Oryctolagus cuniculus: one gene and its partners. The protein of the gene in region 1 purifies or fractionates together with the protein of each later gene. This does not show direct contact. Links are inferred from orthologs where the notes say so. Each region holds a gene or a part of one and is shown in the gene's direction. Other genes may lie near its edges. The genes, in order: POGZ, CBX5, CBX1, CHAMP1 and ZNF428.

Region 1 (5,885 bases):
GAGGATTTATTATATTTTTATTTGTGCTTGAACTTCTCCACAATAAAACATTTAAATTTTAAATATATATAGTGAATAAATTACCAGGATAGTGAGCATAGGTAAAACCTGCTAGTTTGTGTGTGTTTATCTGTCAGCCTCTGTAATCACCAGTCTGCTGGCCCAGTAACTGAAGGTCTTGTGTACTAATGAGCTCTTAATTTGTAGGAGAGTTTGGGACAAGGCATTGTTGGCCTGTTGATATCTACCTGTGTACCCACTCTTTGGTCATCTCTGTAGTAACACTGACTACATCTGTCAAGTGGAACATAAAGTTCAAAGGACCCATTCCATTCTGATAATTTGGGGTGAAAAGTTGAGGCAATATTATACTTGAATCTTTGGCTTAAGTATATTGATTGGTTCTCTGAAATTTTCTATCCAGTTTTAAGTATTTGTAAATCAAGCTTAGTATTAATGATTTTTTAACCTAATGATATTTATTAATACTTATTTATGAAGAAATCATTATCTTCTGAAGTATCATTTTCATTTAGTGTGGGTTAATGTTTGACCAAGTCTGACTTCTATTTTCAGCCCTGATGACATGAGACAGAGAGAGAGAGAGAAGCCTGTTAATTGTCTGCATTCACACCCCTCTAAAGGACAGTGGCTGTTTAGAGACTCCCACCTTTCTCAGACTTGACTCGCTAGGAAGAGATGTCTTTCTTTAGATTCTGTATACTTGCTTAGTTAATGTTTTGCTGGTGAACATTGCTTTTTCAGGAAGATTAAGAGAGATTAGCTAACAACAAGTTAGATTTTGACCAAATAGTTTTACTTAGCTAAAATATGAAAAAGACTTACATATTCTTTTATTCCACCGATTTGGTGTGAAGACCGTGTGGCCACTTAAATTTTCTTAATCAAGGTAATAGCCACGTAGAAATCTAAAGATGTCTTTCGGCCCTACTTAAGACATACAGGTGGGATATTAGTGACTCTTCCCTACCCACCTCTTTTTCTGTCAGTTGTATATTTGGGTGAAGCTTAAATTTCTGGTGAGTTTGGTGACATTAAAGCAGAGGTGAGTGACTGTCTTGACTATTTGATATGTGGGACACTATTGCCTTTCTAAGACCAGAATGTTTATAAAATGTGGGCTTCGCATTGTTTGTAACATTGCTTTCTCCCCTGCTTCTCCCTTTTACTCTTCAGCTGGCAATCCTTTGGTCCAGCAAGGTGGACAGCCGCTCATTCTGACCCAGAATCCAGCCCCAGGCCTGGGCACAATGGTTACTCAGCCAGTGTTGAGGCCAGTTCAGGTCATGCAGAATGCCAATCATGTGACTAGTTCCCCCGTGGCTTCGCAACCAATATTCATCACTACACAGGTGAGTAAAACTGAGTTCTGGGATTGGTAGAGCAGGGAAAGACTGCCTTGCTTCGGGTTCCTGAGACTTGTCCTTTGACCAGCTTTCTCATTGGCTGTGTGGTAATCGGATACTGATCTTTGTAGAAAGCCTAGCATAGCTTCGTGGCTGTGTTATTGGCTCCTCCATATCCCCTTAGAGGTCTTTTAAATGATTGAATGAAGGTCTGGACAGAAATTAATGGGAAAACTTGGATTAGGAAGCCTTCACACGTGGCTCTAAAACGATTCACCCTTTGCCTTGGGGTTGCTTTTCTTCCCGTGGGGTGAGTTAATTGACTTTTGGAGGTCTGTCTATGAAATTGGGAATATGATGGAGATCTCTGGAAGAGGAGGAGGATGATTTATGTGATATATAATGTGGTGATTTGAGGTTAAAATCCTGATTCTGAGTATGGAATCTAAAGGTGAGTATTTTTCCTGGGGCTTCCTGAGTTTACCCTTTTCATAAACTTGCCAGAGATTTATGGGCTTGAGGCTGACTTTGGTAACAGTTTCTTAGGATTGCTTATGTTGACTCATACTGATGAATACTCTTAGTATTTTTCCTTTTATGCTTTTTAACAGTTTGGAGGCCATTTTGTGGTTACGTTTTTTTCAGCTGCAGCTCTCTTAAATCAGGAAATAGGTTTACATTTTTTGCTCTTACGTGCCAAAGCTCCAGTTTTGGTATTTTGTCACTCAAAAATTTGCCAAATCTCCTAAATTTCTACATCTCAATCATTTAGAAGCTCTTAACTCTAGAGAGAACCGTTAGGTTAAAAGTGTGAAAATTTTTTTGGATACAGGTCATACTGCAGTCTTTGCTAGTGTTAGTGGACTCCATATTAAAGATCATTTTGCTTTTTAATACAGGGATTTCCTGTAAGGAATGTCCGGCCTGTACAAAATGCAATGAATCAGGTTGGGATTGTGCTGAACGTACAGCAAGGCCAAACGGTTAGACCAATTACACTAGTCCCAGGTAAGGAAAAATGTCTCTCCACTTGGAATAAACTGGCATCCAGATTTGCTTTTATTGTTGGAAATATTCTAGGTCACTTAAAAATGTACTGAAAAAAATAACAATCTTAATGATTTAAGCCAAAATTAAAAAAAGTTTCTAACCTTTGGCCAGGGTGGTGGCTTTATTTATTTTTCTGTTTAGCTTTTCACCACCCTTCATGAGGCACTAAAATGGGTTATCTAGTCATCTTCAGTAACTGCTGTTTCAGTCAGCTATTACGTCTATCCTGAAGGAAAATTATCAATACAAACTACCAAATTCTGTACTCCTCAGACATCTGCTCACCTGGTGGGATTATAAACTTTATTTTGCTTTAATTTTATACACAAATTTTAGATATTAATAAATGGAATATATACCCTTTGAATAATACTACCAGTGACTAGATAGAATTTTAGGAATCTAAAGATTGGATTTTTAAAAATCTTACAAATTCCTCCACACATTTCTTGTGTGTAAGTTTACTGTAATTTAGGCCAAAAAAAAATTAGTTGCTTGTAAAGGTATATCTGTAGCTTATCTTGTGAAATATTTGAGTGTTTTCTCAGAACCTGCAGGGTTGTTTTTTTGGCCTTCAGTCTAAGCAGCTTAGCCTATCATGTTCTGATATTTCTTAAATATTTCTCAGTGGAATTGTCTCCAGAGATGTTCTCCTTTGGGACAGTCTACTGGAATGGCACAGTCTGTCTTCTGTGAGTGTATGTATGAGAGAGGACTTTTTCAGTGTTCTGAGAAAGAAGCATCCCTTTTTTCAGGATCAAGTCTGCCCTTTGGCTTATATGCACCCATACTGTCTCCCACCCTTTGTTCTGCAGTACTGCTCTGAAGCTACTGATTGTGTTTAAGGCAGTGTGGTAAGGTGTTTGGGTAGGGGGGACTTGATGGGAATCTTACTCGATTTAATGGTTTTAGGTTACCTAATTTCTGTTAGGGGAATGTATTTCACCAATGTGGACACCTGTATTTTTAGACTTTAGAATCTGTGCTACTCCTAGTAACCTGACAGTTGTCAGTTTGGGGAAATAATCTTTCCCTGTCTTAGTATTTCCAGTCAAGGCAGGGAGCATTTGTTGTAGGTGAGCTTACTGATCAGTATTTGTCTCTTCTTTGTCTCTCTTTTGAAGCCCCAGGCACCCAGTTTGTTAAGCCGACAGTTGGAGTTCCCCAGGTGTTCTCTCAGATGACCCCAGTGAGACCAGGCTCCGCAATGCCAGTGAGGCCCACCACCAACACTTTCACCACCGTCATCCCAGCCACTCTGACCATTAGGAGCACCGTCCCACAGTCCCAGGCCCAGCAGACCAAGTCTACACCCAGCACTTCCACCACTCCCACTGCCACACAGCCGACCTCACTGGGACAACTAGCTGTTCAGCCTCCAGGCCAGTCCAACCAGACCTCAAATCCCAAACTAGGTAAGGCTTGGGAAGACAGTGGCAGAGCTGGGGTGAGGTGGCGGGTGGAGAGCAGATGATCACCTGGTCAATGTAGCTCCCTCCTTCCCCTCTCCACCTGCAGTGAGCATTGCCAGCTTTGTCACTGTGAAGCGACCTGGGGTGACAGGTGAAAATAGCAATGAAGTGGCCAAATTGGTGAATACCCTTAACACCATCCCTTCCCTGGGCCAGAGCCCTGGGCCAGCAGTAGTATCCAACAACAGCTCTGCCCACAGCTCTCAAAGAACCAGCGGACCTGAGTCTTCAATGAAAGGTACAGTAGGCTGAGAACCTCTGAGCAGCAGTCATTGAAAAATTTTAATAAAGTATTTATTTTATACTCTGAGGGAAATAAAAAAGAACATAGTTGCTGCAGTCTGTTTTCACAGATACTAATGTAGTGAAGAGTACAGCCAGTTGTGAAAAGTGTAACCAAAACAGCTCCAAGGAATTCTGTGTATGGATTGGTGAAATGGATTGACTGATCAGAGATGGTTGGAATAATCAAAGGTGGCTTCATGGAAGAAATAGTTTTCTGAACAAGACTTTAAAGTTGGGATTTGGATAGAGGTTTTTGTTTGTTTTAAGATGTATTCATTTATTTAAAAGACAGTTACAGAGAGAGAGCTCTTGCGTCTGCTGGTTCACTCCCCAAATGGCCGCAACGGCCGAAACTGGGCTGATCCGAAGCCAGGAGCCGGGAGCTTCTTCCAGGTCTCCCACATGGGGCAGGGGCCCAGACACTTGGACCATCTTCCACTGCTCACCAGGCACATAAGCAGGGAGCTGGATCAGAAGTGAAGCAGCGGCCGGCGCCGCAGCTCACTAGGCTAATCCTCCGCCTAGCGGCGCCGGCACACCAGGTTCTAGTCCCGGTTGGGGCGCCGGATTCTGTCCCAGTTGCCCCTCTTCCAGGCCAGCTCTCTGCTGTGGCCAGGGAGTGCAGTGGAGGATGGCCCAGGTGCTTGGGCCCTGCACCCCATGGGGAGACCAGGAAAAGCACCTGGCTCCTGGCTCCTGCCACCGGATCAGCGCGGTGCGCCAGCCGCAGCGCACTGGCCGCGGCGGCCATTGGAGGGTGAACCAACGGCAAAGGAAGACCTTTCTCTCTCTCTCTCTCTCTCTCTCTCTCACTGTCCACTCTGCCTGTCAAAAAAAAAAAAAAGTGAAGCAGCTGGAACTTGAACCAGTGCCTGTATTGTATCCTGGCACTGCGGGTGGAAGGTTAACCTTCTATACCACAGCCCTGGCCCTGTGGATAGAGGGTTTCAGTAGGAGGGTAAGAGCATAGTGAGGGTTTTCAGTGGTCTAGAGCAGCAGTTGACAAACTTTTTGTCTAGGGCCCAGCATATTTTAGACTTTGTGCATCATCTGAGCTCTGTTGCAGCTGTTCATCTGTGCCATGTAGTATAGAAGCAGCCACAGATGACCCATAAATTAGTGAATATGGCTGTGTGCTCCACTGAGAATACTCAGGGTCTCTGAAATTTCAGTTTCATGTAATTTTCTGTGTCAGAAAATTTTATTCTTTTATTTATTTATTTATTTATTTATTTATTTTGACAGATAGAGTTAGACAGTGAGAGAGACAGAGAGAAAGGTCTTCCTTCCATTCTACGGCCGGAGCTACGCTGACCCAAAGCCAGGAGCCAGGCGCTTTCTCCTGGTCTCTCATGCGGGTGCAGGAGCCCAAGCACTTGGGCCATCCTCCACTGCCCTTCCGGGCCACAGCAGAGAGCTGGACTGGAAGAGGAGCAACCGGGACCAGAACCCGGCACACATATGGGATGCCGGTGCCGCTGGCGGAGGATCAACCAAGTGAGCCACAGCAACGGCCCCAGAAAATGTTATTCTTTTGCTTTTATTTCAGCTATTTAAAAACATGGAAACCTTTAACCAACAGTGCTGGGAAAACTGGATATTAATTTTTCAGATAATGAAATTAGGCCCATACCTTATACCAAATACAAAAATTAACTCAAATTGGATTGGATCAAGATTTAAAAATTCAAGAAAAACTGTAAAACTCTTA
Region 2 (6,353 bases), on another chromosome or scaffold:
TCATCTAGGGTCAAGAAACCACAAGCTCTCTAGAGTTAACCTTAGCTAACCATACATACCACGACCACTGAAGTTTCCTCCACGACCAAAGTTGTCATTGCCACCAAAACCACCTCCACGACCACCACCAAAGTTTCCAGAACCACTTCGACCTTGAGAGATAAGTGTTAAACCATACAGATTGGAAAAACTCAAAGTTACCTTAACGTCCGACTAAGCAATAGACATACCTCTCGGGGTGGACGAAGCGCTGGCCATCTCCTGCTTCGACAGGGCCTTCCTCACTTCACAGTTGTGGCCGTTCACAGTGTGGTATTTCTGAACTGAAATTTGATGACAAACAGCCCGGGGTTAGAGTGGAATGCCACGTGCGTTGCAGAAAGCCCGCAAAGTGCCTGGGATCTGATACTCACTGACAATCTTATCCACGGAGTCATGGTCGTCGAAGGTCACAAAAGCAAAGCCCCTCTTCTTGCCACTGCCTCGATCAGTCATGATCTCAATCACCTCGATTTTCCCGTACTGCTCAAAGTAATCTCGGAGGTGATGCTCTTCAGTGTCTTCTTTAATGCCACCCACGAAGATCTTTTTCACAGTGAGGTGGGCACCTGGTCTTTGGGAATCCTACCGAGCCGAGAACCACGAGTTACTCTAAATGGCAAAATCTGTGTCCTTTATCAAGTACTTGAAAGGGTCCAGATGGCTCCCCAATGGCAAGCCTATTACCACAACCGATGGGGGTTTGGGGGCCCACTTACTTCTCTCGACACAGCCCTCTTTGGTTCCACAACTCTTCCATCCACTTTGTGTGGCCTTGCGTTCATGGCCGCATCCACCTCCTCCACGGTGGCGTAGGTGACAAACCCAAAGCCCCTGGAGCGCTTGGTGTTCGGGTCTCTCATTACCTGGAGACAGCGTTAATTTGCTTATTACAAGGCCCGGGCCCGTAGGAGGTTATAGGGCGGTCCTCCTGTTCCCCGCTCCCGCAACTTCCAAAAAGCAGGCCGAAGAGCCACAAACGAGCCATTCCTAACTCAGAACTCAGGCCCCGTTAGGATCTTAAGCCCTCGCACAGAATCTGCAGGAACAGCCGCCGACGCCCCGCCTCCCGGCCCTCCCCAGTCTTACCACGCAGTCCGTGAGCGTGCCCCATTGCTCAAAATGGCTCCTCAGGCTCTCATCGGTCGTCTCAAAGCTCAGCCCTCCGATGAAGAGCTTCCGCAGCTGCTCGGGCTCCTTGGGCGACTGGGCGGGAGAGCAAAATTGGTTTTTCTCTTGTAAATTCGGGCTACCACACGACCCCGTTTCCACGCGGGGGGTGGGGAACACAACTCGGCCCCCACAAAGGCGGCACTTTTTGTTCGCTCCGGTCCAAAGCGGGCCACGTGCTCCCCCTCATCAGGGGAGGCGGCCCGTTGGGGGCTGGGGAGCCTCCAGCGCATGCGCCGCTCCGCTCCCTCCAGACGCACGCGCGCAACAAAAGGTCCGCGCGGGAGGGGGACATCGCCGTGAGGGGCATCAAGGCTTTTTTAAAACCCGCTCGCCGGGACAAAATTGAACCTAAATCGCCATATGGCTAACGATTTTGCCCCGACGCCGACCCCGGAGTGATTATCGAGGGGCTAGCGGCCCGCAACCTCATGGCGACGACGAGGACAAAATGGCGACTTGAACTTTGGGAGGGGTAGGCCTTGGCCGCGACCGAGCAAACTGCCGAAAAGGTTGCTGCGGGCAAAGAAACCGCCCCTACTGGACTCGAAGAGGGAGACGAGGGGGAGAACTACGTTAGAAAAGGGGAGCTCCTCACCTCTGACTTCGACATGACGGCGGTGGGAAGAGAGAACTCGACGATGCTTCCTCGGCGGCGTCCGCAAGCAGAAAGGAGTAAGCCAACGAACGTATCCGCCAGCCTACCTTCGGCCTCGCTTTTTTATCCCGCCTCCTCGCTTTCGACATTGGCAGACTCCACCCCTGCCTCGCTCTGATTGGACATTTGAAATCGCTTCCCTCTACTATTGGTGTATGGCGCCGCACTGCTGCGTACGTCACCGTTAGGGCGTTCTGCGCAGTCTCCACCCCTCGGACCCCATTGGTCCTCGAGCAATCTTATTCTTAGCCAGCCTGATTGGCTAACTGAACAATCATTCATTTTTGAACGTACTTCGCCTGTCTAAACGTTTTTTTTTCATTCTACTAGTCCAAATTATATATCCTATTTGTTTGGTAAAGCATTATTAACACCAAGCAGCAGAAAAGTAGTTAGATGTGACGGTTTTTTTCAACAACCGCCTGTTGAGCGCATGTGTAGTAAAATGGCGATCTTGCGCATGCGCATTATAGAGTTCCGCTCGCCGCTTGAAACACGTGAAATGGCGGGCGGGAGAAGGCGGTTAACCTACGGCGCCTGCGTAGTGGCGGGAGTTGCGCGCTGCTTTGCGCAGGCGTTGTGGGCGGAGAAAGGGTCCGGGCCCAGGATTGGTTGCGCAGGCGCAGGGAAGGATCCGTTTTGGCGGGCGGTTGGCGTTGCGCAGAAGGCAGCAGCAGCGGTGGCTTGTGGTGCGGCCTCAGCACAGAGGAACGGGGCAGACGTTAGGGTGTGTGATCACTCTCGATCCCGGGTAAGTGGCAGAGAGTCTTGTCTACCTGTACAAGGCCTTGGACCGGCTCCAGTTGGGCCCGTTATTGTGTGAAATGAATGGACCGTGGGGTGGGGGGATAGTCAAGGGGCAGCGGTGGGTTGGGCCAACCAATAGAAGAACAGGGGGCGGGATATTCCATCCCTGTAGGTTGTGTGGAGCTGTGCCGCCGAGGCGTTTGACTGGCGCGTGTCTAGGCCAATTGGGTCTACCTCGAGCTGCCGACTGATCGGCCTTTGGGCCATCGGAATGTGGGAGGCGGGTTTTCCCTTCCTGAGCAGCGTCCCGCCGAGCCAATGAGCGCGAAGCGCGCGGTAGGTTGGGCTTCTCCGAGGGGCCGTGGGTTTGACTCCAGCGGGGAAGGCGGGAGTTGGGCCCTCAAGTGGATGGACCAAATCTGGAGCCAGTAGGCGGGCGGCCCAAGGAAGCCTCTCGGACAGGTCGTCCAATAGGCTCTCCAGGACGGGGAGGTCTTCGATTTGGTGGGAAAGGGTGGGGAGGAAGGAGATTCAATGGTCGTGATGGCGTGCGGGGGTGGGTTTTTCCCCCCTACGACTTCTGCGAAGCCCCCCGCCCGGTGCACCTCTTTGGTAGCGGAAGCGTAAATTTGGTCCTGGGTGCTGCAGCTTGGCATCGCTCTCCACGTCGGGGCATCCCAGCATCCACCACATTGAGTTTGGGGGAAACCCGAGCAGGGCTTTCGATTTAGAGAACTTGTTTTAGGAAGACGGACTGAGTGTTAGCGAATGAGAGAAATCACTGTGTACTGTACGGCAAGGCGACCTCAGGATGCCTGTTTCTGCGGACACAAAGGTGTTCGTAGGCCCGCAGAAAAGTTTCAGAATCCTGCCCCTGTCCGGAGTGTGTTGCTTCTGCCGACGCCGGGGCCGAGGCAGGCTGGGTTTCCAATAGACCCGTGTTTAATCTTTACAGGGGTGACGATTTGTGATTAAAATAAAATAAAAAATGAAGTCAGTTTTGTGTGTGCGTTTCTGTTTATCATACTTCTCATCGCCCTTGTCTCTCTTCTCAGCTAGCTGCTCCGTGCTTTTGTCTTGGTCTTTTTCTCTGACTTTCCCTCCTGTACATATCTTTCTTTACACCATTAAAGATCTCCCGTGTCCCTCTTTGTGCTGTTCCTTTGAGGATGTCCCACGGAAGCCGCTGTAGGAGGCGATACGTTAGGGTGTTGGAGACAAAAGACCCATCCATCACCTGGAGTATTCATTGCCTTTTGATTAGATTTCCTTACGAGGGTGTTCTGCATGTAGTCTGTCTTCTGTTGATAATGCTTTCTCTGCTTATTCAGGGATCTTTTGAAAAAAAAGTTTGCATTATATATTGGGTGTGTTAGGGTCTTACTGCTTTATTGTTCACTGACTTAAAGCCAAGGGAGCAATCTTTAAATACTCTAATAAAAGTCAACCACATATGAAGTACACTTGTGATTGGAGACCTCTCCGCACTTGTGCAAATACAAATGATTTTAATGGAGCTTGTGATGAACCGAGCAGAGATTTCCGTGTTCTCCCGTACTTGCAAAAACGGCAAATCTGTGTTTCATACCTGATCATAAACCTATTTGTGGATATGCTGATAGTGCAGTTGCTGAGCTTCTGATAACTAAAGTGAGAGCGGTTGAGGGTATCCTGGATTTATTTAGGTTTAAAAGGAATACAGTCTTAATCTATAACAAGGTTTCTCATCCTCAACACTATGGGCACTTTGAGCCAGATACTTCTCTGTTGGGCAGGGAGTGGGGGCTGTCTTGGGCTCCCTGGCTCTACCTATTAGAAGCCAGCAGCACCCCCCCCCCCCCCCCCGCTGTCCTCACAGCCGCCAGGCGTTGCCAAAGGTCTGAGAGGGGTAAGCATCGGAATCTCAGTTTGAAACAGACCTAAAATGGCTGATGTTAGAGTTAATTATCCTTTCAAAGTCCTCTGTTTTACCAATTCAATAAAAGTGGGATGTATTTAGGGAGGGGCCTTTGCTGAGTGGATTACTAAATCCTATCACTTATCTCTTTCAGACACATAATAGGATCATTGTTCCTTCTGATAAAAGTGATACTTCATTAACATTCTTAATATTTCTTGCAATCTAATTATATGATTGACTGCTTGAATTTGGCTCCCTAAATAATGGCAAAGGTGTTTTTTTTAAGAAGGTAAATTTTGTCTCAGATGCCTGTTAAGGATTTCACCTAACTTTAAATCTCTTTCCTGGCTTTGAGTGACTGTCACTCTGCTTTAGCTATGACCCTCAGGAAGAAATATATTTTATACTGACTTTGTACGTACATGGAAACAAGTTTCACACAGCAAAGGTGCAAACACTCTGGTATTTTCCCACATTCCATGTCCTATTTCATTTTCTCGAGGCAGGTCAGTTTATACTGAACTGCTGTCACAGTGGCTTACAGACCCATGGTTTTGGGCATGGGGTGGGCGGGGAACGACTGCTCTGAATAGGAAACCAAGTCAGGCCACCTGAGGTTGCTCTGAGTGGATTCTTCCAGCACCAGCCACTTGTGTTCACAAGCAGATCAATTGATGACCCTTTATTTGGTGTTTTACTGATGTTTTTCCCTTTGAAAGATTTTAGGAACTGAACTAAGACTTCCTAGTCGACTGCAAGTGAAAATTTTGCATTTTATTGTGAGGGTCTGTTCAGTGGTAATAGGTGCAGTAAACCCTTCTTACTGTTGGTGTAAGTTTAGTGGTTTTTTTTTTTTTTTTTTTTTTTGACAGGCAGAGTTAGACAGTGAGAGAGAGACAGAGACAGAGAGAAAGGTCTTCCTTCTGTTGCCCCCAAATGGCCGCTATGGCCGGCTGCGCCCATCCGAGGCCAGGAGCCAGGTGCTTCCTCCTGGTCTCCCACGCGGCTGCAGGGCCCAAGGACCTGAGCCGTCCTCCACTGCTGCCCAGGCCACAGCAGAGAGCTGGACTGGAAGAGGAGCATCCGGGACAGAATCTGGCACCCCAACCAGGACTAGAACCCTGGGTGCCGCGGCGCCACAGGCGGAGGATTAGCCAAGTGAGCCGCAGCGCCGGCCTAGGGTGCTTTTTGCATTGAAATTCTGAGACTATCACGTGGAAAACCTTCCCTCATTTTGCTTTCGGAGAATCTGGTTTGGTTGTTAAACTTAGACCTGGCAGTTAAATACAAAATGTTGCGATACCGTTAGTGTGAGGGCACTTGGGTACAAACATACAACGGTGTGACTAAACTTACAAACGCGTTGTTCACAACGGGGAAAGTAACACGTCTTTGCTGCCTGAAAGCTAACAGGAGAAAGCTGCAATCTAAACCGTAGGTGAGCAGGGTGCTAGTTGGGGAAAGAGTGGACGTGGGAAGTGATTGCAATTTCCTGTGTCTGGCAGACTCTCAGGGCCCTTGGTAATACTCTGGAAAAGAGAAAATCTTCATGTCCAGCGCACAGAGGCTTCTGAGGAACACTAGTGAGTCTGTTTTGCACTGGTTGAGGTGTTTTATGTGGCCACACGGCCTAAGTTCCTTCAAGGAATCGCCCATTTAAGAACGCTCCCCGATAAAGCATTTCTAGCCTTTATTTTTGTTCTTTCACTTGATGTTTTTATTTCTTTTCACCTGGCATGAAATTGGGCCTAAAGCTGGGCTGTATTGGGTAATTGATTTTAAAAGCAATAAATTACAGTGTGAGATACCACTTGAGTTATTAGTATGGTTATTTACACA
Region 3 (5,885 bases), on another chromosome or scaffold:
TCAGCTCCTCCACTTCTGCTCCAGCTCCCTGCTGATGTGCCTAGGAAAGCAGTGGAGGATGGCCCAAGTCCTTGCGCCCCTGCATCCATGTAGGAGACCTGGAGGAAACTCCTGGCTTCAGATCAGCTCAGCTCTGGCCATTTGGAGAGTGAGCCAGTGGATGGAAGACCTCTCTCTGTTTCTGTCTCTACCTCTCTCTCTAACTCTTTCAAGTAAATAAAATTAAAAAAAGAAAAGAAAAAAACTTAGATTATATTTGTGGTTATCACCTGTACACACACACACACAGTTTCCAAGTTATTGCAGTACTCCAAAGAATTTCATGGTCATTCTATCATTTTGTGAGTCTTCTTTTGTCTTATCTGAACTGTAAAAATAAACTGAGTAGAATAAGAAGTTCATAAGAAACTTGTAAGGTGTAAATTTATAGTGGCATTCAGGAAAGACTGCATAATGAATAAGAGAACTTTTCAGAAGAGAGTATTGTAGTAATACAGAAGAATAGGGCATATATGCATATGCAAATGGAAAAATTAAGATGCTTAATAGAGCAAACTATTTGCCCACAGTAAAAAGTCAAGTCCATTATAGTGGCAAAATGGAAGACATACAGGGCAGATATTATGATATAGTGGATTAAGCCATGGCTTGGGGTGCCTACTGCCTCTATCAGAGTGCTGATTTGAGTCCTAGCTCCACTGCTTCTGGTCATCCTGGGAGGCAGCAGATGATGGTTCAAGTGCTTGGGGCCCTGTCAAAAGGAGTTTCAGGCCCCTGACTTCAGCATGGCCCAGCCCTGACTATTGTAGGCATTTAGGGAGTGAATCAGCAAATGGAAAATCCCTCTCTCTCTTTCCACCTCTCCACACCCACCTACTCCCCCATCCCCCCATCACTGCATTCAAGTAGATGGAAATTTAAAAAAAAAAAAAACTCCTTTAACAAAAGGAAAATAGAGAATAGGAAACAGTATGGATCAGAGAATTATCTGTATATAAGTTTGATGTGGACATATTATTTTAGAAGGATTCCTATTTCAGTCTAATTTAGTATTTTAGGGACCATAGCATATAAAGTATTTTTTTTATAAAGTTTCTATATGTATTTTGAAAGAGCTACAGAAAGAGATTTTCCATCCACTGGTTCATACCCCAGATGGCCACAATGGCTGGGGCTGGTCCAAGCTGAAGCCAGGAGCCAGGAGCTCCTTCCAAGTCTTCCGCATGGATGGCAGGTGCCCAGGCGCTTGGGCCATCCTTCACTGCTTTTCCCAGCGATTAGCAAGGAGCTGGATTGGAAGTGGAGCAGCCTAACTTGCACCCATATGGGATGCTGGCCCATGTATATAAAAGTTTTTAAATGAATATGCAAGAATAAAAAAGTTTTATCAGTGCTAACTCTGTAGCTGAACATTTCAGAAAAGGTTTTTATATGTTGAAAATAGGCATAACATTATAAGTAGCATGCAGTATTAAAGTCCCCTCTGATCTCCATGATTTTCCAAACATTCAGATATTTATCTAACCCTAATGCCCATTTTATTTCTTTTACCATTTTAGCAGCGTCACCCTTTACACCAGAAAGCTGGCGGGCACCATGGGGAAAAAACAAAACAAGAAGAAAGTGGAGGAGGTGCTAGAAGAGGAGGAAGAGGAATATGTGGTGGAAAAAGTTCTTGACCGTCGAGTTGTAAAGGGCAAAGTGGAGTACCTCCTAAAGTGGAAAGGTTTCTCAGAGTAAGTTTCATTGACACAGGTGAATTTAGTCATCAAGTGTTTATTGGGAATCTAATGATACACAGCTGTGATAGATGCAGTAAAAAAATGAATCATGGCTTTCATGGTTTATGGTCTGACAAGAGTATGACCTACATGTATAGTGCGAAAAAGCAAGATAGGGATTTCTTTGCAAAGAAAATTGATTTTGTCCTGGGCAAAAAGTAGCTGTTCATTAATATTAATTCCTCTTGTCCTCCCTGTATTTATATCCTTTGTATAAGTATACTTACTTTGAAGGAACGTGACTTGCTGTACCTTGTGGTTGGTTTCAGTGAAGACAATACGTGGGAACCAGAAGAGAATCTGGATTGCCCTGACCTCATTGCTGAGTTTCTGCAGTCACAGAAAACAGCACATGAGACAGATAAGTCAGAGGGAGGCAAGCGCAAAGCTGATTCTGATTCTGAAGATAAGGGAGAAGAGAGCAAACCAAAGAAGAAGAAAGAAGAGGTAAGGCTTGAAATAAGGATTTTTCCTAGTCCAGAATTGATAGTACTGTCAAAGAAGCTTCTGAAGACCAAATAATTAAGTTTTGTTATGTCTCCTCAGATCTTAGCAAGCATTTCCTCTCAATCTCCTGTGAAACCCTATGATCTACCCTCATTATCCAGGCTTTAGGAATAACAAGTATAATACTTTTTGAGGACAGATATAAGGGCAAATGAAACGATTCCTGTAAATAGATAGCTTTAATCATTTGATTAAGCATATGATTTGTGGTAACAATTTTGATTTATCCAACACCTTAAGGTCAGTTGTCTTTTGAGGGTGAAGAGAAGTCCTGGAGAGACAGTCGTGGTAAACATTTAGTCTGCTGTTTGGAGTCTATTCCTTTTCATATATGGGAAACCTCAAGCATTCATACCTTGATGAATCACTCCAAAGGATTCCAAAAGGCCTGTTACTAGGAGCCAAAGTATCGATGATCTGTTAGCAAAAGGGTATGCAATTGCACTAAGCAGACATGGGAGTGACTCCAGTCTGGATGACAGTTCCACATAGATCAAACTGCTCTACCTATCTGGTTTTTACAGTCAGAAAAGCCACGAGGCTTTGCCCGGGGTTTGGAGCCGGAACGGATCATTGGAGCTACAGACTCAAGTGGAGAACTCATGTTCCTGATGAAATGGTGAGTCTGCAAGAAATCCCCATCTGTTCCATGCCAGAAGAAACGAGCTGGACCTTCGAAATTCCAGTTGCCCAAGTGTGAAATCTTTAAGATGACATAGTCCTTCGATAGTGACCCTCGGCCTGACTGCCACAATGAACTCATGAGTTACAGGTAGGGGCTCTTAGGATTCTTGATCTTTGCCTGGTTTTTTGAGGAGGTGGGAAAAAAATCCAAATTGTAGAGGGTGAGGGAAGAAATCACATTTCACTTTGTACATGATGAAAGAAAATATGAAATGTGACTGGACCACCCTCCCCTTTACCACCTCCTTAAAGATCTGGCTGGCTGCAGGATCACAGACTCTTCCCAGCGTTAGCAAAGAATTTTTGTAGCTCTTCCTTTGTCCTTGATCAATCCTTTCTAGTTTGTGTAAATTGTGCAATTCCAGGATAAGCCAGCAGGGGTCAGCAGGACCCCTTTCCTGTTCATGAGCATAGTGCAAGGCTGCCTTTTCCATTCATTCTAAGTGTAAATATGGTTTTAGTAATGCCCCATCAAACTACTTAATGAAGACATTTATCTTGAAAATCTTACAGTTTTTAAAGAGATTTATTTATGTATTAGAGGCAGAGAGCAAGAAGTCTTCCAACCACTGGTTCACTCCCCAAATGGCTTCAATGGCTAGAGCTGGGCTGATCCAAACCCAGGTGCCAGGAGCTTCTTCCGGGTCTCCCATGCAGGTGCAGGGGCCCAAGGATTTGGGGCATCATCTACTGCTTTCCTAGGCCATGGCAGAGAGCTGGATCAGAAATTGAGCAGCCAGGACTCGAACCAATGCCCATATGGGATGTCACACTGAAGGTGGTGGCTTTACCCACTACACCACAGTGCCATCCTCAAAATGTGTCGCTTATGGGAGATTTGATACCAGGAATTATTTAGCTAGAATGCATGTTCTCTGCATGTGATCATGTGAATTAAAGTAGTTTATATTACTTAAGACTACATTCCTTTGGTTGACTCACTACTACGTCTACAAATTAAGATTGAATGTTGGGGGGCCAGCGCTGTGTCATAGCAGGTAAAGCTGCCCGGCTGCTTCACTTCCGATCCAGCTTTTTGCTATGGCCTGGGAAAGCAGTAGAAGATGGCCCAGTCCTTGGGACCTCACACCCTCATGGAAGACCCAGAATAAGCTTCTGCCTCCTGGATCCTGGTTTCAGAAGGGCCCCGCTCCTGCCATTGCAGCCATTTGGGGATTGAACCAGAATATGGAAGACTGCTCTCTCCCTCTCTTCCTTCCTTCCTTCCTTCTTGCTTTCTTTTTACAGATTTATTTATTTATTTGAAAGAGCTACAGAGAGAAAGAAAGGCTCAGAGAGAGAGGTCTTCCAACTGCTGGTTCACTCCCCAGATGGCTGCAATGGCTGGAGCTGTACCATTCCAAAGCCAGGAGCTTCTTCCAGGTCTCCCATTCGGGTACAGAGGCCCAAGGATTTGGGCCATATTCCACTGCTATCCCAGGCCATAGCAGAGAGCCGGGTCAGAAGTGGAGCCTCCCTCTCTCTGCCTCCCCTCTCTAACTCTGCTTTTCCAAAAAAAAAAAAAAAAAAAAAAAAAAAGATTGAATAATGGAGTATAAAACTTTTTTAATGATTTCTTTTGGAGAGCGGAGGTATTGGCCCATTTCCAAAAACTGCCAGCATTCTGGTCAATGAGATGGAGTGAACTTAACTCAGGGTGTTGTACATTTGTCAACAAATGATAGCATGCTTCAGGTCCCCCATATCTGTTTTCTTTTTTTAAGATTTCGTTATTTATTTGAAAGTCAGAGTTACACAGAGAGAGGAGAGGCAGAGAGAGAGAGAAGTCTTCCATTCGATGGTTTACTCCCCAATTAGCCGCAACGGTCGGAGCTGTGCCAATCTAAAGCCAGGAGCCAGGAGCTTCTTCAGGTCTCCCAGGCAGGTACAGGCGCCCAAGGACTTGGGCCATCTTCCACTGCTTTCCCAGGCCATAGCAGAGAGCTGGATTGGAAGTGGAGCAGCCAGGTCTTGAACTGGTGCCCATATGGGATGCCAGTGCTGCAGGCTGGGGCTTTAACTTGCTGTACCACAGCACCAGCCGCCCCCCCCCCCCTCCAGTACCTGTTAATAGTAGTACATTTCCCTCCTGTTCTCTTGGGTCCATTGCTCAAAACTACTTTAAGAGCTTACTCTTTTCTGGTTTTTGGGGCTGTGTGGCTCCAATTCCCTGGAGGTTTTGGGGATACCTTATCTGCTGCCTGCTCTATACTGCTGCTTTTACCTAGGGCATTCTCAGTGACCTGAAGATAAGCATGTACTCATGATTCCATTATAATGAGTGAAATTTTCATACTTTAGAAACATTTTAGGAGCCAACATACTGGCACAGAAGTTTAACTCCCAGCTGCTCTGCTTCTGATCCAGCTTTCTCCTAATGTGCTGGGAAAGGCAGCAGAAGATTGCCCAAGTACTGGGGCTCCTGCCACCCACGTGGGAGATGAGGACAGAGTTCCTGACTTCCAACTTCAGCCTGGCCCAGACCTGGCTGTTGTGGAGGAGAGAACCAGAGATGGAAGATTGATCTCTCTCTCTCTCTCTCTCTCTGTTTCTCTCTGTGTCAGGCTTTCAAAGAAACATGTCTTTTTTTTTTTTTTTTTTTTTTTTTTTTAATGAAAACATTTTAAAATCCAGAAAAACATAAAGAATTATATAACAGCTCCTATTTTCTGCTTCCCATTACAAAATACTTGGATGTTGTATGAGATGGGCATTTGGTAGTATCAGTAGTAAAGATCTCTCCATGGGCTCTTATCAGCTGGGATATGGCTTTTGGAAAAGTGAGGTAGCCCTCCTTTTCCCTAAGAGAATCTGGACAGTCATGCTTTTTAAGATTTATTTATTTATTTGAAAGTCAGAGTACACAGTGGGGGGGGGGGTCTTCCATCTGCTGGTTCACTCCCCAGTTGGCTG
Region 4 (6,381 bases), on another chromosome or scaffold:
TGAGCCATCATTTGCTGCCTCCCAGAATGTGTGTTAGCAGGAAGCTGGACTGTAAGATGAAGGGCTGAGACTGGAACCAAGCCCTGATAGAGAATGTGGGTGTTGCAAGTCGCAATTTAACTGCTGTGCCAAATGCCTGCCCCCACAATTGCATTTCTATATGCCACAAATGATCTGAAAAGGAATTTATAGAAACAGTTCTACTTATACTACCATCAAAAAGAGCAAAATAGGATGTAATTTAATGAAGGTGACAGGCTTAAACACTGAGAACTAGAATATGTTGCTGAAGAAATTTAAAAAAAAATAGAAACACATCTTAGGTTCATGGACTGGGAGACAATTTGTGTGTGGGTCTGGAAATAGAAAGCAATCCTAGGATCCTTATGGAATCTTGGGAACTCAAATGGCTAAAACAATCCTGATAAAGAGAATGAAGCTGGAGGATAACATTCTGATTTCAAAACTTGCTCCAAGATAGAGATCAAAACAGGTAGTCCTGGTATAAAGACAGACATCGATACTAATGGAACAAAAGAGAGTCCAGAAACAAACCCTCATATATGTGGTCTTTTGGCAATAGTGCCAAGACCATTAATGGGGAAGGAACAGTTTTTTCAGTAAATGATCCGTGGAAAACTGGATCTCCAGATGCAAAGAATGAAGTGGGACTCTCACCTAATGCCATATACACAGATTAACTCAATGTGGATCAAAGACAACATCTGAAATGATAAGTCTTTGAGGAAAACCACAGGTTAAAAGCTTTATGATACTGGTGTTGGCAGTTAGTTCTTGGATATGACAACAAAGGCACAGGCAATTGAAGAAAAAACATAAATGTACTTCATGTAAATTCATAGCTCAAAAAACACTATCATGGCAAAAAGTCAACCCACAGAATGGGAGAAAACATTTGCAAATCATACATATGATAAGGGGCTAATATCCAGAATACACAGAAAATTCCTCTAACTCAACAACAAAAACCCAAACAACCCAATTTAAAAATGGGCAAAGGACTTGGATAACTATTTCTCCAGATATATAAATGACAAGAGATCACACGAAGATGCCAACATCAGTAATCATTAGAAAAATGCAATGTACAGCAATTAGCTATCACTTGAACTCCGTTAGATTGACTACCATAGAACCACAACCGAAAACCAGAAACTACCCAGTGCAGGTGAGGATGTTGTGCAATTGGAACTCTTGTGCAGCTGCTATGGAAGCAGCACTGTAGTGCCTCAAAACAATTAAAAAGAGTTACCATGGATCCAGTAACCCCACTCCTGTGTAAATATCTAAAAGAATTGAAAGAATCTCAAAGACATATTTGTACACTCACGTTCATAAAAGCATTCACAATGGCTAAAATGTGGAAGCAAATCAAATGACAGATGAATGGATAAGCAAAAGATGGTATACCCATACTATGGAATGTTTATTAAAAGCCTTAAAAACAGAATCTCTGCAGTATGCTACAACACAGGTAAACCTGCAGACATCATGCTAAAGTTAGCGATAAAAAGGTAACATTTCATTGATAGGAATAGTCAGATTCAGAGATGGAAAGTAGAACAGCCATCTTAAGGGGCAAGGCGGGAGGAAGGGAGGTACTGTGCGGTGGGTATGGGGTTCCACCGTTACAAGACGAAAGGGTCGGATGGTGATTGTTGCTCACTGCGAATGCACTTAATGCCATTGGACTATACACCTAAAATTGTTAAGATGATAGATTTTATGCGTATTTTGCCACAGTAAACAGCATCTCAGGGTAGACATCTGGTGCAGAGGTTGACACCCTATCAGGGTGCCAGGGCTGCAGTCCCACGGGGCTGGCTGGTTCCACGTGGGGGACCCACCGAGATCAGGGCGCCCAGTTTCTGGGCCTAGGTCCCGAGCGTTGTGGGCATTTGCGGGAGCGAACCAGCCCTGCGAGCCCTCTGTCAAATAAACAAGCATAATAACTTCTAAAGGAAACGAATGGAAGACATCTGGTCAGTCAACCTAGAGTGAGCTCGGAACCAGGTGCACGCACCCTCCCCGCTCGCGGGACGGAGGTCCGGGAGCCTGAGGAGAATGTTCGTCTCCGACAGCTGTCCCGGACGTCATCGCGGGCGCTGGGCCTGCCTTTCTTCCCTAACTCCACTCACACGACAGCACGAGAAACGCGAGAGAACGCGAAGCAGCACCGAGGCACGGCCCGCTCCGAGCCCCCGCCCACTCGGCCAGCTCCCGCGCGCCGGGCGCGGCGGCACTTCCGGGGCGGGCGCTGCGCGCGGCACTTCCGGGAGCCGCGCCGCGCCGCTGCTCGCGCTCGCGCAGTGCGCACGGCCGCGCTTGGCGATCGGCGATCCAATTGGCCTGCGCGGCGCCCCACTCGCCTCCCGGCCGAGCGCGCGCACGCCCGCGCCCCCGGCGCCGGCCCCTGCGTCCCGTCGCCATTCGGAGGCCGCGCCCGCAGGCCCCGCGGAGTCGCTGGCGCCCGAGCCGGGCCTCCCCGCCGGCCTCGCCCACCTGGACGCCGCCGCGGCCGGGACCGGTGAGGGGCGGGGGCGGGCGCGGGCGGGCGGGGGCGGGGTCCGCGCCGCGGACTCCGAGCGCGGGGCCGGCCGGTCCGAAGGCAAGGTCCGCCGGCCGCTGGCGTCCCGGGCAGCGGGAAGGACCCCTCCCCGGAGGCGGGCGTGGGTCGCCATTGTGCAGGGGGCGGGCGGGCCTGGGGCGTTTTGTGTAAAGCGGAGACGGGCTCGGTTTCGGCCCCCGAGGTGGCTGTCTTCTCGCGCGTGCGGGGCTCCTGCCGCTCGTTGTGCCCGCAAGCCCGCTAGGCAGGCCACAGCCCGGGAGCGGACGTTTGCAAATCCTAACTCGGGTGTAGGGTCTGTACCCGGGACACAGGACTGCACTGGGCAGCGCCGCGTCCGGATGGGTATTTGCCCGGAGACGACACCCGGAGGGCGGGTTAGCCGTTGGGAAGCTGCAGCTAACCCCCCGCGAGGGCGCACCTCACACCTGTTAGGGTGGCTGAACACAAAAGGCACTGGAGTGTGGTTGAGGAAGTGAAGTCGGAACTGGGCCCGTTGCCGGTGGAGCCCCGGGCCGACCCGCAGGGTGGGAGGCCGCCGCTCGGATGCCGACCCCGGGTACCAGCAGAGCAAGCTGAGGTGGTTACGTATCATCCCCAGAAGCAGTGAGCCGCTGATACTTGGCTGTGGGATGGATGAACCTTTAAACATGTTAAGTGAAATAAGACACAAAGGGACAAACACGGACGATTTCTTCCACTCAGGAGACCAGGCTGTGGGAAGCAGGGAACAGGATTGATTGCGATGATTAAAGAGTTCTGGAAATGGATCTTGGTGATGGTTGCTTATACTTAACGGATGAAGTTGTGCTTTAAAAAATGATAAGTTTTTGGTTCAGGTTTCCCGCACTTTAAAAAGGTAGAACTACAGAGATATTGAAAAGACTGGTAATTGTTAGGAACACAGGGAATTTTCATGTTGGTGAAATTACTGTGACTGTCATGGTACATGTGTGACTGTATGTCTGCCAAAACCCATGAAATTGCAACATGAAGACTGGCTCCTCTAAGCTGTTAACCCGAGTTAATAACAGACCAGTGTTAGCCATCCCAACTGCAGGATGTTAAGGAAGGCTGGGCAGGGGATTGGGAGGATGTATTGGGGGTTTCTCTTCTTTCTGTTCAGGTTCTTTTAAACAAAATTACTTGAAAAATAGTGTTTAAAAGTCAAAGCGGGGTGCAGAATAGTGCTGGTGTGTGTTTAGACGAATAGAACCCTTCAAATGTGCATGACATGTTGACTTTTTTATTTAAAAATCTACATGAAAATATACTTAAAAAATGACCAGTGGTGTTAGATTTCAAGGAAGAAATTGGATGGGAAATGGGAATTGATGTGACAGCACCTGGACCAGCAGTGCGTTGAAGAATTCTGAGTGATGGGCTGGCAGAGCATTGTTTCAACAAGGTACAGCCTGTAGAGACAGAAGAGAAAATTTCATTACCCTGGACAATTTAGACTTTTTGTCTGAAATTAGAAAATACATTGACTAGAATCTTCCAGCTGGAGGGACTCAATTCTGTGACTTCGCTGTGTGTCCTGTGCTGAGGGAAAGGCAGCCTTGCTGTTACAGCGGAGATCTAGAACCAGGAATCCAGGGTGTTCCTTTGCTTCCTCTGACCTAATCCTTATCTCTGACAGGTCGCTTGTCTCAGAATCAGCTTTCTCAGTGGTAAAATGAAGAGGTTGGTCTCAAGTCCTGTGAAGATCAGTAGCTTCTAGTCACGGAGTGTTACCACTGGACCAAGAAGCTTGTCTAGTTCAGGATGGAGTAATTTGTTTTCTTACTGGCTTCTGCTTGTTGCTTCTAAGGAGACCTTAGACAACATTCATAATTCTTCCCCCTTTGAAGTGAAATGTTTGTATTCACAGACATGTTTTTAAAGACTGCTGCCATCATTGTTGCTTGCTGCTGCTTTTTTAAAAAAATGTATTTTCATTTATTTGAAAGGTAGGGTGGGAGAAAGGACATATCATTTTAATCTCCAAACTGTATCTGTGAATTACATTGAACCTGATAAAAACTTAAAAAAAAAAAACCAGAAATTAACAAATCACAATAATGAAAGATCCAGGAAAACTCAAGATACTAAAATTAAACCACATCATCTAAATAAAAAAATGAAGGTAGTGCAATAGAAAGATTTTCCATTCATTAGTTCATTCCCCAAATGCGCACCACAGAATCTGGGTCTCTCATAGGGGTGACAGAGACCCAACAACTTGAGCTATTGCTGCTGCATCAGCAGGAAGCTGGAATCAGAGGCAGAGCTGGGACTTGAACCCAGGCAGTCTTGACATGGAATGTGGGCATCTCAAATGGAACTTTTTTTTTTTTTTTTTAAATTTCATTTTATTTATTTGGGAGGCAGAGTGGCAGAGAGATGGAGAAACAGAAAGAGATCTTTTTGCTGTTTCATTCCCCAATTAGCTGCATTGGCTAGGGCTGGGCCAGGGTGAAGCCAGGAGCTTGGAACTCTATCCAGGTCGCCAACATGGGTGGGAGGCACCCAAATACTGGGGCGTTTCCCCCTGCTTTCCCAGGTGGAGCTGGATTGGAAGTAGAGCAGATGGGACTCAACTGGTGCTCAGATATGTGATGCCAGCTTAACCTGCTGCACCACAACGCCAGCCCCATAAGTGGAATCTTAACTGCTAGACCAAACACCCACCTGTGTTGCTTTCTTTTGATAAGTGGATTCTAAATGTTTGATGAACTTAATTTTGTGAGTTTTGACCTATTGTACTGGCTTTTCAAGATCTTACTAAATTCTACTATATTAGCTTGATCTTGATATACTGAAAGGACCTGAATCGATAGTAGAACTTTATTCTTTTATTTGCCACATACTGATCATTTGCCTGATCTTGGGCAAGCAACATCAAGTTTGAGCTTCCTCAATGGTAAACTAAAATTTTCTTCAAAAAAAAAATATGCTTATTTATTTTGAAAGGCTGAGTTAGAGAGAGAGGAAATAGATCTTCCATCTGCTGGTTCACTCCCCAGATTGCCTCAACAGCTGGATATGGGCCAGGCTGAAGCCAGGAGCTTTATCCTGCTCTCCTACATGAGTGGCATGAGCCCAGGCACTTGGGCCATCCTCTGTTGCTTTCCTAGGATCATTAGCAGGAGCTGGACTGGAAGTGGAGCAGCTGGGACTTGAACTGGCGACCATATGGGATGCTAGTGTTGCAGGCAGTAGCTTAACCCACTAAGCCACAATGCTGGCTCCAATTGAAGATCTTTTCCTGCCTTCAAATTCTATGATTTTGAGACTAGATGATAGTTCAGATTGTCTCTAATTTTAAAACGGAATTAATGTTAAGATTGTGTCCCCAGTCTTCATGAGACAAGGTTAAGATCAGACAGATATTTTCTGAGCACACAGTGTGTGCCAGGATGTGCACAGTTACAGAGGTGAACAAACAGTTGTGTAGCCCTTGTTCTTTGAGAACCCGTGACCTGATTTGGAGTTAGGCTACAGTGCTAGAGGGTGACTGCTATGTTGGAGGTATGCATGCAGCTGGGAGGCCAAGGAAGGTTGGGAGGGAGTGGGAAATAGGCCCTTACTTAAAGAGACAGGTGTCTGAAGGATGCAAGAATTTGCCTGATTGCTGGGGGACAAGATGGGAAGTGTAAAGGAGAGGGAACATCTTGTGAATAGGCCCAGAGGCTTGGAGAGCTGGAGGATTACACATGGGCCAGTACTTGGAAAAAGTGGTCTAGTCAGGGGCCAGACTGTGAGGAGCTTTGGGTGCCACGTTCTAATTTTGCAGTATAGCTGTTTGGGAC
Region 5 (6,503 bases), on another chromosome or scaffold:
ACCAGTGAGGGCCCAGATGTCCGGGGCCCCCAGGGGGCAAGGACCCAAGGTCCAGACCCCCAAGTCCAGGGAGGGCAGTAGGGATTGGGTAGGGGGCGAGAACCGGGGGAAGGCCAGGGCCCCAGGGCTACAGAACCAGGTCTTGTGGGGAGGGAGTCAGATTCTGGGAAAGGTGGGTGGGCAGGGAAGGGGAACAGAGATTTCTCTGGGGGTCCTAGACCCCACGCCAGCCATTGTGAGAGTTCCACAGAGCTCTGGGCACCTCTTTGCAAAGCCATGTTTGCACGATGGGGGCAGGGTGGGGGGCGGGCGTGGAAGCAGGGATTCTGTGTCTTCGTGTCATAACTGAAGGGGGCGGTGGGGGAGACGGCCCTGACCCCTTTCTCCAGCCCCTTCCCCGGGCTCCTGGGCGCCCCTTCCCTCTGCCTCCTCCCCCCATGTCTACCCCACCCCTATTTGTCTGTCCACCCACTCCTGGGGGGGCCTTCCCATCTCTCCTCCAGGCCCCCCGGGGAGGGGGAAAGGAGTTTGGGGGCGGGGGGATACATGGTCTCTATGGTTTTATATATAATATATTAAAAAAATCAAAAATCTGTATGAAAATATCAGATTGCAACCCCCTCCCCCTATTCCTGGCTTTGGCCCCCTTTTTCTTGTTTAAAAAAAAAAAAAAAGAAAACCACACATTTTGTACGGGGCAGGGAGGGGATTGGGGAGGGGGTTTGGCAATCCCACTAACCACCATTAAACTGAGGAGAGAACCAGTGTCGGTGGCTGTGTCTGTCCCTGGGAGGGGAGTTCAAGTGGGGGAGGGGTGGGATGGTTTCTGTGCACTGACCTGGCCAGCGCACCTCACCCACCCGGGAAACGTGGGTTTTTCCTTGCCACTTCTTTAGCCAAACAGTCTCAAAGTCTCAATTCTTTAATAACTACTGAGCTACCTCAGCCCATCCCCCAGGGCCTGGCCCTCCCCTGGCCCCACCTCCACCCCCATCACCCTGTCACCCTCCCTGGCCCTGCCCTGCCCCACGCCCCTCCCGCCTCCCCATCCCCTCTGTATCAGGCCAGAGCTCTCTCGGCACCGGGTTGCTGCGCGTGTTACTGTATTCTAACTCCACCGTGAATCAGGCAAGGGTTAGCTGTCGCGAGAGCTAAGCACTGATCTGAAGTCTGGTCCCGCGCTGGGCACTAAGGACCAGAGTGAACCGCGAGGCTTTCCCGCGGGAAACAGACCTCAGCACAGACTGACCGAGCCAGAACGCCACAGAGGGGGACGCGCCGGTAGGACAGCCATGGGACAGAACACTTCGAACAGGAGCAGGTGGGACAGGGAAGCCCCGGGTACACTTCAAGCCAGCCTCAGCAGCCAGCACCCACCCGTGAGCACCCCGGACTCCTCGACAGCCTCACTCACGAGTGGAGGTGCTGTTACCCTCAGACTGAGGTCTGTGCCAAGACGTGGAGAGCCCCCGAGCAGCTAGCTGTGTGCAGATCAGAGGAACAGCGAGATCAAAGACTGTGTGCGGGAAGCGGAGCTGAGACAGTGGATACAGAGGGTGGGCGAGGGCGGGTCACGTGATGGCCTCCGAGCCCCTGATAAGGAGCTGGGGGTTTTAAGAAGTGTAAGGGGACCCCTAGAGACGTGACAGTCACTTCCTGCGGGGAGACAGCAGCGGCTCCCGCACCGGGCACAGAGCCCGAGCTCGCTGCAGGAGCCCTTCCCCTCCCCGGCTCTGTGTTCCAGGCACACCCGTCCCAAGTCTGACCTCCCGGGGGGGGGGGGGGGGGCTATTTAATCAGACGTGTGAACGCCCCAGGGCTGTGTCTCGTACGCCAAAGAAACCCAACTGGCCGCCTGCTGCAAAGATCACCAAAGGTGCACCCCGACTGAGGGGGCGTGGAGGCTGGAGTGGTCCTCCTCCGCGTCCTTGTGGCCTGTCTTCGGACCGATCCTCGACCAGAACCTGGCCTGCCCGCTTCGCGCCCCGCGGCGGACCTAGTGCGCACGCGCCTCGCTCACAGCCACCGCCCCTCCCCGCCATATGCTAATCACTGCGCTCGGGAGCCCCGCCTCCCCGGGGAATATGCAAATCACCTCCCCCGTGCGGGAGGCCGCCTATTGTCCCGCGGTGGGGTGCGGCGCGCGAGCGGGCCCGGTCCCGCACCCCAGCCGTGCGGGCGCCCTCCGCCCGCGGCGCGCCCCGTCCTGGTGAGACGCCTTCCCGCCACGCACACGCACACGCACGCGCGAGCCCCGCGGCTTCTGTGGCCTTCGGGCCGCGGACCGTACCAAGTCGCCCCGGCCGACGAGGGGCCACGCACCGCACCCCCCGGCGCGGGGCTCGGCTCGCGCGGCCCCCTCCTCCCACAGCGCGCCGGGAATGGTCCGTCTCGCCGCGCAAGCGCCCTAGGCGCCTCACGCCCCCCTGCGCTCGCTCCTGCCCTGCTTGCGGCGCAGGCGCGAGGCCCGGGCGTGCAGCCGCCACCCACCGCCGGGCCGGAGCGGGGGCCGCCGACGACCGTGAGTGTCCGGGGAAGGGGTGCGCGGGGCATGCCGGGAAGCGGGCGCTACGGCCCCGCTGCATGACGGGAGTGACACCTCCTGTCGCCCGAGGAGCGGGCAGCGGTCGGGGCGGCGCTGGCCTGGGGGCGAGACCCAGGTGCCCCTCTCTGGCCCCCGCGCGCCCTGGTCGCGCCCTGAGGCAGCGCGGGGAGACGGGGCACTCCGCCTCTCGGCAGCGTGCCGGTCGTTAGAGGCCCGGTGCTTCCCGGGAAGGGGGCCCCCCGGCTCTCCCATGGCGAACCGGACCCTTTGTCACACACCCACTGTCGAGCATTCTAGGAGCGGGGAAAGCAGCCTGCGGGGAGTCCGCGCAGGGCATTGGGGGACCGGCCCTTACTGTCCCGCCTCCTCGCCCTCGCGTGGCGGGACCGGTGCCTGTCGTGCACGCGGGGCGTCTTGGGAGTTGGTTCCTGTGGGCTCAGGGCGTTTGCGGTGCCCACTGCTGCGCTGCTTTTTATTTATTTTTTATTCGAAAGACAGGGCTTCCATCTGCTGGTTCACTCCCAAAATGGCGGCAACGGCCAGGCGGGAGCCAGGAGCCCGTTCTGGGCCTCGCACATGGCGCATTAGCGGGAAGCTGGGTCGGAGGAGGAGTGGCTGGGGCTTGAACCCCTGCCCGGCCACAACCCGAGGGTCTCGGCTCAGGCCCCGCTCGGATCTGAGGGCCCTCGTGTCGGAGGGGTGGGCATTTGCACCCAGGGCTGGCTCCGCGGGGGTCCCAGTGCTGTGGGCTTGGGAGGGGGCGGGGGCCGGACTGGTGGGCGTTGTCTCCGGGGAGCCTCCTTAGAAGTCCTGGTTGTTCTCGGTGTGCACTTCCTGGGTGGAGGTACAGGATGCCTCCTTAAGTTTGAATTTCCAGTAAGCAACATAAAATCTTTTGGGAAAGTGGGCAGCGGGTTAAGCTTCTGCCTGCGAAGCTGCATCCTATATTGGAGCTCAAGTCCCGGCTGCTCCTCTCCGGGTCCAGCTCCCTGCTAATGCGCCTGGGAAAGCAGCGGACGACGGCCCAAGCGCTCGGGCCCCTGCACCCGCGTGGGAGGCCCGGATGGAGCTCCCGGCTCCTGGCTTCTGCCTGGCTGTGTCCTGACCCTCACGGCCATTTGGGGAGTGAACCAAGAGATGGAAGATTCTCTATCTCTCTCTCCCTTAGAAGAAACTTTTAAAAAAATTACATCAAAAATATGAGTAATGATTTGTTGTTTAACTGAACTTTGTTCTAAGAGATATATTTTTTTAAGATTTATTTATTTGAAAGGCAGAGTTACAGAGAGGCAGAGAGGCAGAGAGAGAGAGAGAGAGAGAGAGAGAGAGAGGTCTTCCAACTGCTGGTTCACTCCCCAATTGGCCACAATGGCCCGGGCTGTGCCTGTCCGAAGCCAGGATCTTCTTCCAGGTCTCCCACACGGGTGCAGGGACCCAGGCACTTGGACCATCCTCTACTGCTTTCCCAGGTCATAGCAGAGAGCTGGATCGGAAGTGGAGCAGCCGGGAATGTGGGCAGAGGCTTTACCTGCTACACCACAGCACCAGCCTCTAAAATTCTTTTTTTATACACACACATATATACTGCCCCCCCTGCAAACAGGGATATTAATATCATAAAGTGAGATTCATGACAATGATCTTAGTGAGGTGAAATTCACATTTCATTGGGCATCCTGTTTTTATGTGCATAATTTGGTCCTCTTTCCTGCTTTTAGGTAGAGTTCCCGAGTTGGGTGGGCCCTGCAGGGTAGAGGGTGTCCTAAGAACACTCCCCGCCCAGATCAGCCGCCTCCTCCAGGAAGTCCCTCAGCCCTCCCCAGCATCCTTATCTTTTGAGTTTCTGGCAGTGAACTTGACCTCCAGACATTGAAAGGGGCCTCGGGTTTTCCATCACTGTTTGGCCAGTGCCCGGCACAGACCTTGGCCTGCAGGACACAGCCTAGGCGGCCAGCCCCTCCACTAACGGCCTGGGCGGCTCTCTGTCGTCAGGAAACGCAGGGAGAGAAGCTCCGTGTGTGTGTGTGTGTGTGTGTGTGTGTGTGTGTGTGTGTGTGTGTGTTGGGGGCGTGGTCTGCAGGTGAGGAGGGCAGTCAGGTTTGGCTTCCTGGAGGGGCACAGGCTCTCTAGGGCCAGGACAAAGGACAGAGGTTCTTAGGTTGGCGGTGAGCTGCGAGGGTGAGTTCCCTGGGGAAGGAGGTCTCTGCTGCTGGCGACCGCAGATGTGACAAGGCCTGGGGTGCACGGAGAGAGGTGCAGGATCCAAACTGGCCGAGTTTACGGGGGCGGAGGGAGGGGTCCCGGAATGCCTGCCCCCTCCCAGCCACCTCCCTGAATGAGCCCCCGACCCACCCAAGAGATCATTTTATGAGAGATGGGAGGACTGCCCGCTGGGTGGTGTGACCTCGGGCCACTTGCTCAGCCTCGGTGCGTGCCTCAGTTTCCCCCATGTGTACAGAGGGGGCAGTCTCTCAGCTTGATTCTGAGGAGCCCAGGAGTGAAGCCCTTAGCTTGACACCACACAGCCACCTTGGCAGTTAGGAGCAGGCGGAGGGTCACAAACCAGCGTCGCCTCATTTAAATATTGAGATCCTTCCTGCCGCCTTATTTAAATATTGAGATCCTTCCCGCCCGTCATCAAATGCACCCCACACCTGACTGCCGCTTCAGGGCCTCCCCCAGCCCCGGAGTTCCCCACAGTCCAGCGACGGAAGGGTTAATGCCTGCCACAGGCTCCTGCTCATCTCCGTTCTGATTGGTGCCGATGCCATTACCTGCCGATCAATATCTGGAATTTTGCCTTCCCCTCCCCCCATGGAATAAGAACAGAGGGGCGGGGCCGGGGCAAGGCTTTGCACGGAGCACCCAGCTGGGTGGGGGTGGGGTCGAGTGCTATGTGAAAATTTATTGAGCTGTCGCCGGCCTTTCCTTTCCCCTGCCCAGCGTCCCTCTACCTGCCAGCACCCCGTATTAGAAGACTCTGTGGCCGGAGAGCTGGCCGGGGAGGGACGCTGCCCAGCTGCTGCTCTTCTGCTGTTTCCCGTCCCCTCCCCTGGCCATGACAGAGACCCGTGAGCCAGCTGAGACCGGGGGCTACGCCAGCCTGGAAGAAGATGACGAAGACCTCTCCCCAGGTGAGGCGACCTTGGAGGTGGTGGCGTTGGTGTGCGCATCAGGGGTCGGGGCTTCGTCGGGAGAGCGCGGTGTGGCCTGGCTGGGAGACCCCTTCCAGCTGAAACCTCCAGGGGCTGTAGGTTGGCCGTGACCCCTCTCCACGGTGGGGGTTCTGGAGCGGCGAGGGCCTCTCCTCTTGCTGGGGGTCCTAGGTGGGGTGCCGCACATCCCCTTGCTGGAGGCTGCAGATGGGCTGTGCTCCTGCTTCTTCCTGGAGCTCCTGGATCGGCCGCGAGTGCTGTCCATGCTGGTGGTTCTGTATCGGCCGCGAGCCCTGTACATGCTGGCGGTTCTGGATCGGCCGTGAGCGCTGTCCACGCTGGCGGTTCTGGATCGGCCGCGAGCGCTGTCCACACTGGTGGTTCTGTATCGGCCGCGATCCCTGTCCACACTGGCGGTTCTGGATCGGCCGCGATCCCTGTCCACACTGGTGGTTCTGTATCGGCCGTGAGCGCTGTCCACGCTGGTGGTTCTGGATCGGCCGTGAGCGCTGTCCACACTGGTGGTTCTATATCGGCCGCGAGTGCTGTCCACGCTGGTGGTTCTGGATCGGCCGCGAGCCCTGTCCACACTGGCGGTTCTGGGTCGGCCGCGAGCTCTGTACGCGCTGGGGCTTCTGGATCGGCCGCTGCTGCTCTCCCTGCTGGGGGTTCTGGACGGGCTGCGGACTCTCCGCTTGCCGGGTCTCGGTTGCTTGTGGCCTCTCCTCTTACTGGAGGTTCGCGGCTGGCTGGGGTCCCTCTCCTCGCTGGGGGTTGTGGACCGCGCGTGGCTGGGAGCTCTC

The links.
Region 2: the proteins of POGZ (region 1) and CBX5 purify together in Homo sapiens (affinity purification with mass spectrometry; 5 studies listed by BioGRID and IntAct, with this or other methods). This does not show direct contact. The link is inferred for Oryctolagus cuniculus from reciprocal best matches to the Homo sapiens genes POGZ and CBX5.
Region 3: the proteins of POGZ (region 1) and CBX1 purify together in Homo sapiens (affinity purification with mass spectrometry; 7 studies listed by BioGRID and IntAct, with this or other methods). This does not show direct contact. The link is inferred for Oryctolagus cuniculus from reciprocal best matches to the Homo sapiens genes POGZ and CBX1.
Region 4: the proteins of POGZ (region 1) and CHAMP1 purify together in Homo sapiens (affinity purification with mass spectrometry; 4 studies listed by BioGRID and IntAct, with this or other methods). This does not show direct contact. The link is inferred for Oryctolagus cuniculus from reciprocal best matches to the Homo sapiens genes POGZ and CHAMP1.
Region 5: the proteins of POGZ (region 1) and ZNF428 purify together in Homo sapiens (affinity purification with mass spectrometry; 3 studies listed by BioGRID and IntAct, counting the BioPlex papers as one, with this or other methods). This does not show direct contact. The link is inferred for Oryctolagus cuniculus from reciprocal best matches to the Homo sapiens genes POGZ and ZNF428.

The regions. Positions count from the first base shown.
Region 1 is NC_091438.1:46,662,269-46,668,153, forward strand, and holds part of POGZ (pogo transposable element with ZNF domain), read left to right. Parts: intron 1-1,197; coding exon 1,198-1,373; intron 1,374-2,266; coding exon 2,267-2,375; intron 2,376-3,541; coding exon 3,542-3,832; intron 3,833-3,908; coding exon 3,909-4,127; intron 4,128-5,885. UniProt on the Homo sapiens protein: Plays a role in mitotic cell cycle progression and is involved in kinetochore assembly and mitotic sister chromatid cohesion.
Region 2 is NC_091442.1:57,212,825-57,219,177, reverse strand, and holds the start of CBX5 (chromobox protein homolog 5), read left to right. Parts: upstream 1-2,300; coding exon 2,301-2,618; intron 2,619-6,353. Other genes in the region: HNRNPA1 (heterogeneous nuclear ribonucleoprotein A1), read right to left, coding at 60-152, 231-323, 414-624, 759-905, 1,129-1,245, 1,808-1,822. UniProt on the Homo sapiens protein: Component of heterochromatin that recognizes and binds histone H3 tails methylated at 'Lys-9' (H3K9me), leading to epigenetic repression. In contrast, it is excluded from chromatin when 'Tyr-41' of histone H3 is phosphorylated (H3Y41ph).
Region 3 is NC_091448.1:24,362,182-24,368,066, reverse strand, and holds part of CBX1 (chromobox protein homolog 1), read left to right. Parts: intron 1-1,559; coding exon 1,560-1,736; intron 1,737-2,050; coding exon 2,051-2,228; intron 2,229-2,812; coding exon 2,813-2,907; intron 2,908-5,885. UniProt on the Homo sapiens protein: Component of heterochromatin. Recognizes and binds histone H3 tails methylated at 'Lys-9', leading to epigenetic repression. Interaction with lamin B receptor (LBR) can contribute to the association of the heterochromatin with the inner nuclear membrane.
Region 4 is NC_091440.1:33,168-39,548, reverse strand, and holds the start of CHAMP1 (chromosome alignment-maintaining phosphoprotein 1), read left to right. Parts: upstream 1-2,392; 5' UTR 2,393-2,548; intron 2,549-2,719; exon of another isoform or gene 2,720-3,995; intron 3,996-6,381. UniProt on the Homo sapiens protein: Required for proper alignment of chromosomes at metaphase and their accurate segregation during mitosis. Involved in the maintenance of spindle microtubules attachment to the kinetochore during sister chromatid biorientation.
Region 5 is NC_091449.1:12,299,840-12,306,342, forward strand, and holds the start of ZNF428 (zinc finger protein 428), read left to right. Parts: upstream 1-2,378; 5' UTR 2,379-2,521; intron 2,522-5,488; 5' UTR 5,489-5,603; coding exon 5,604-5,679; intron 5,680-6,503.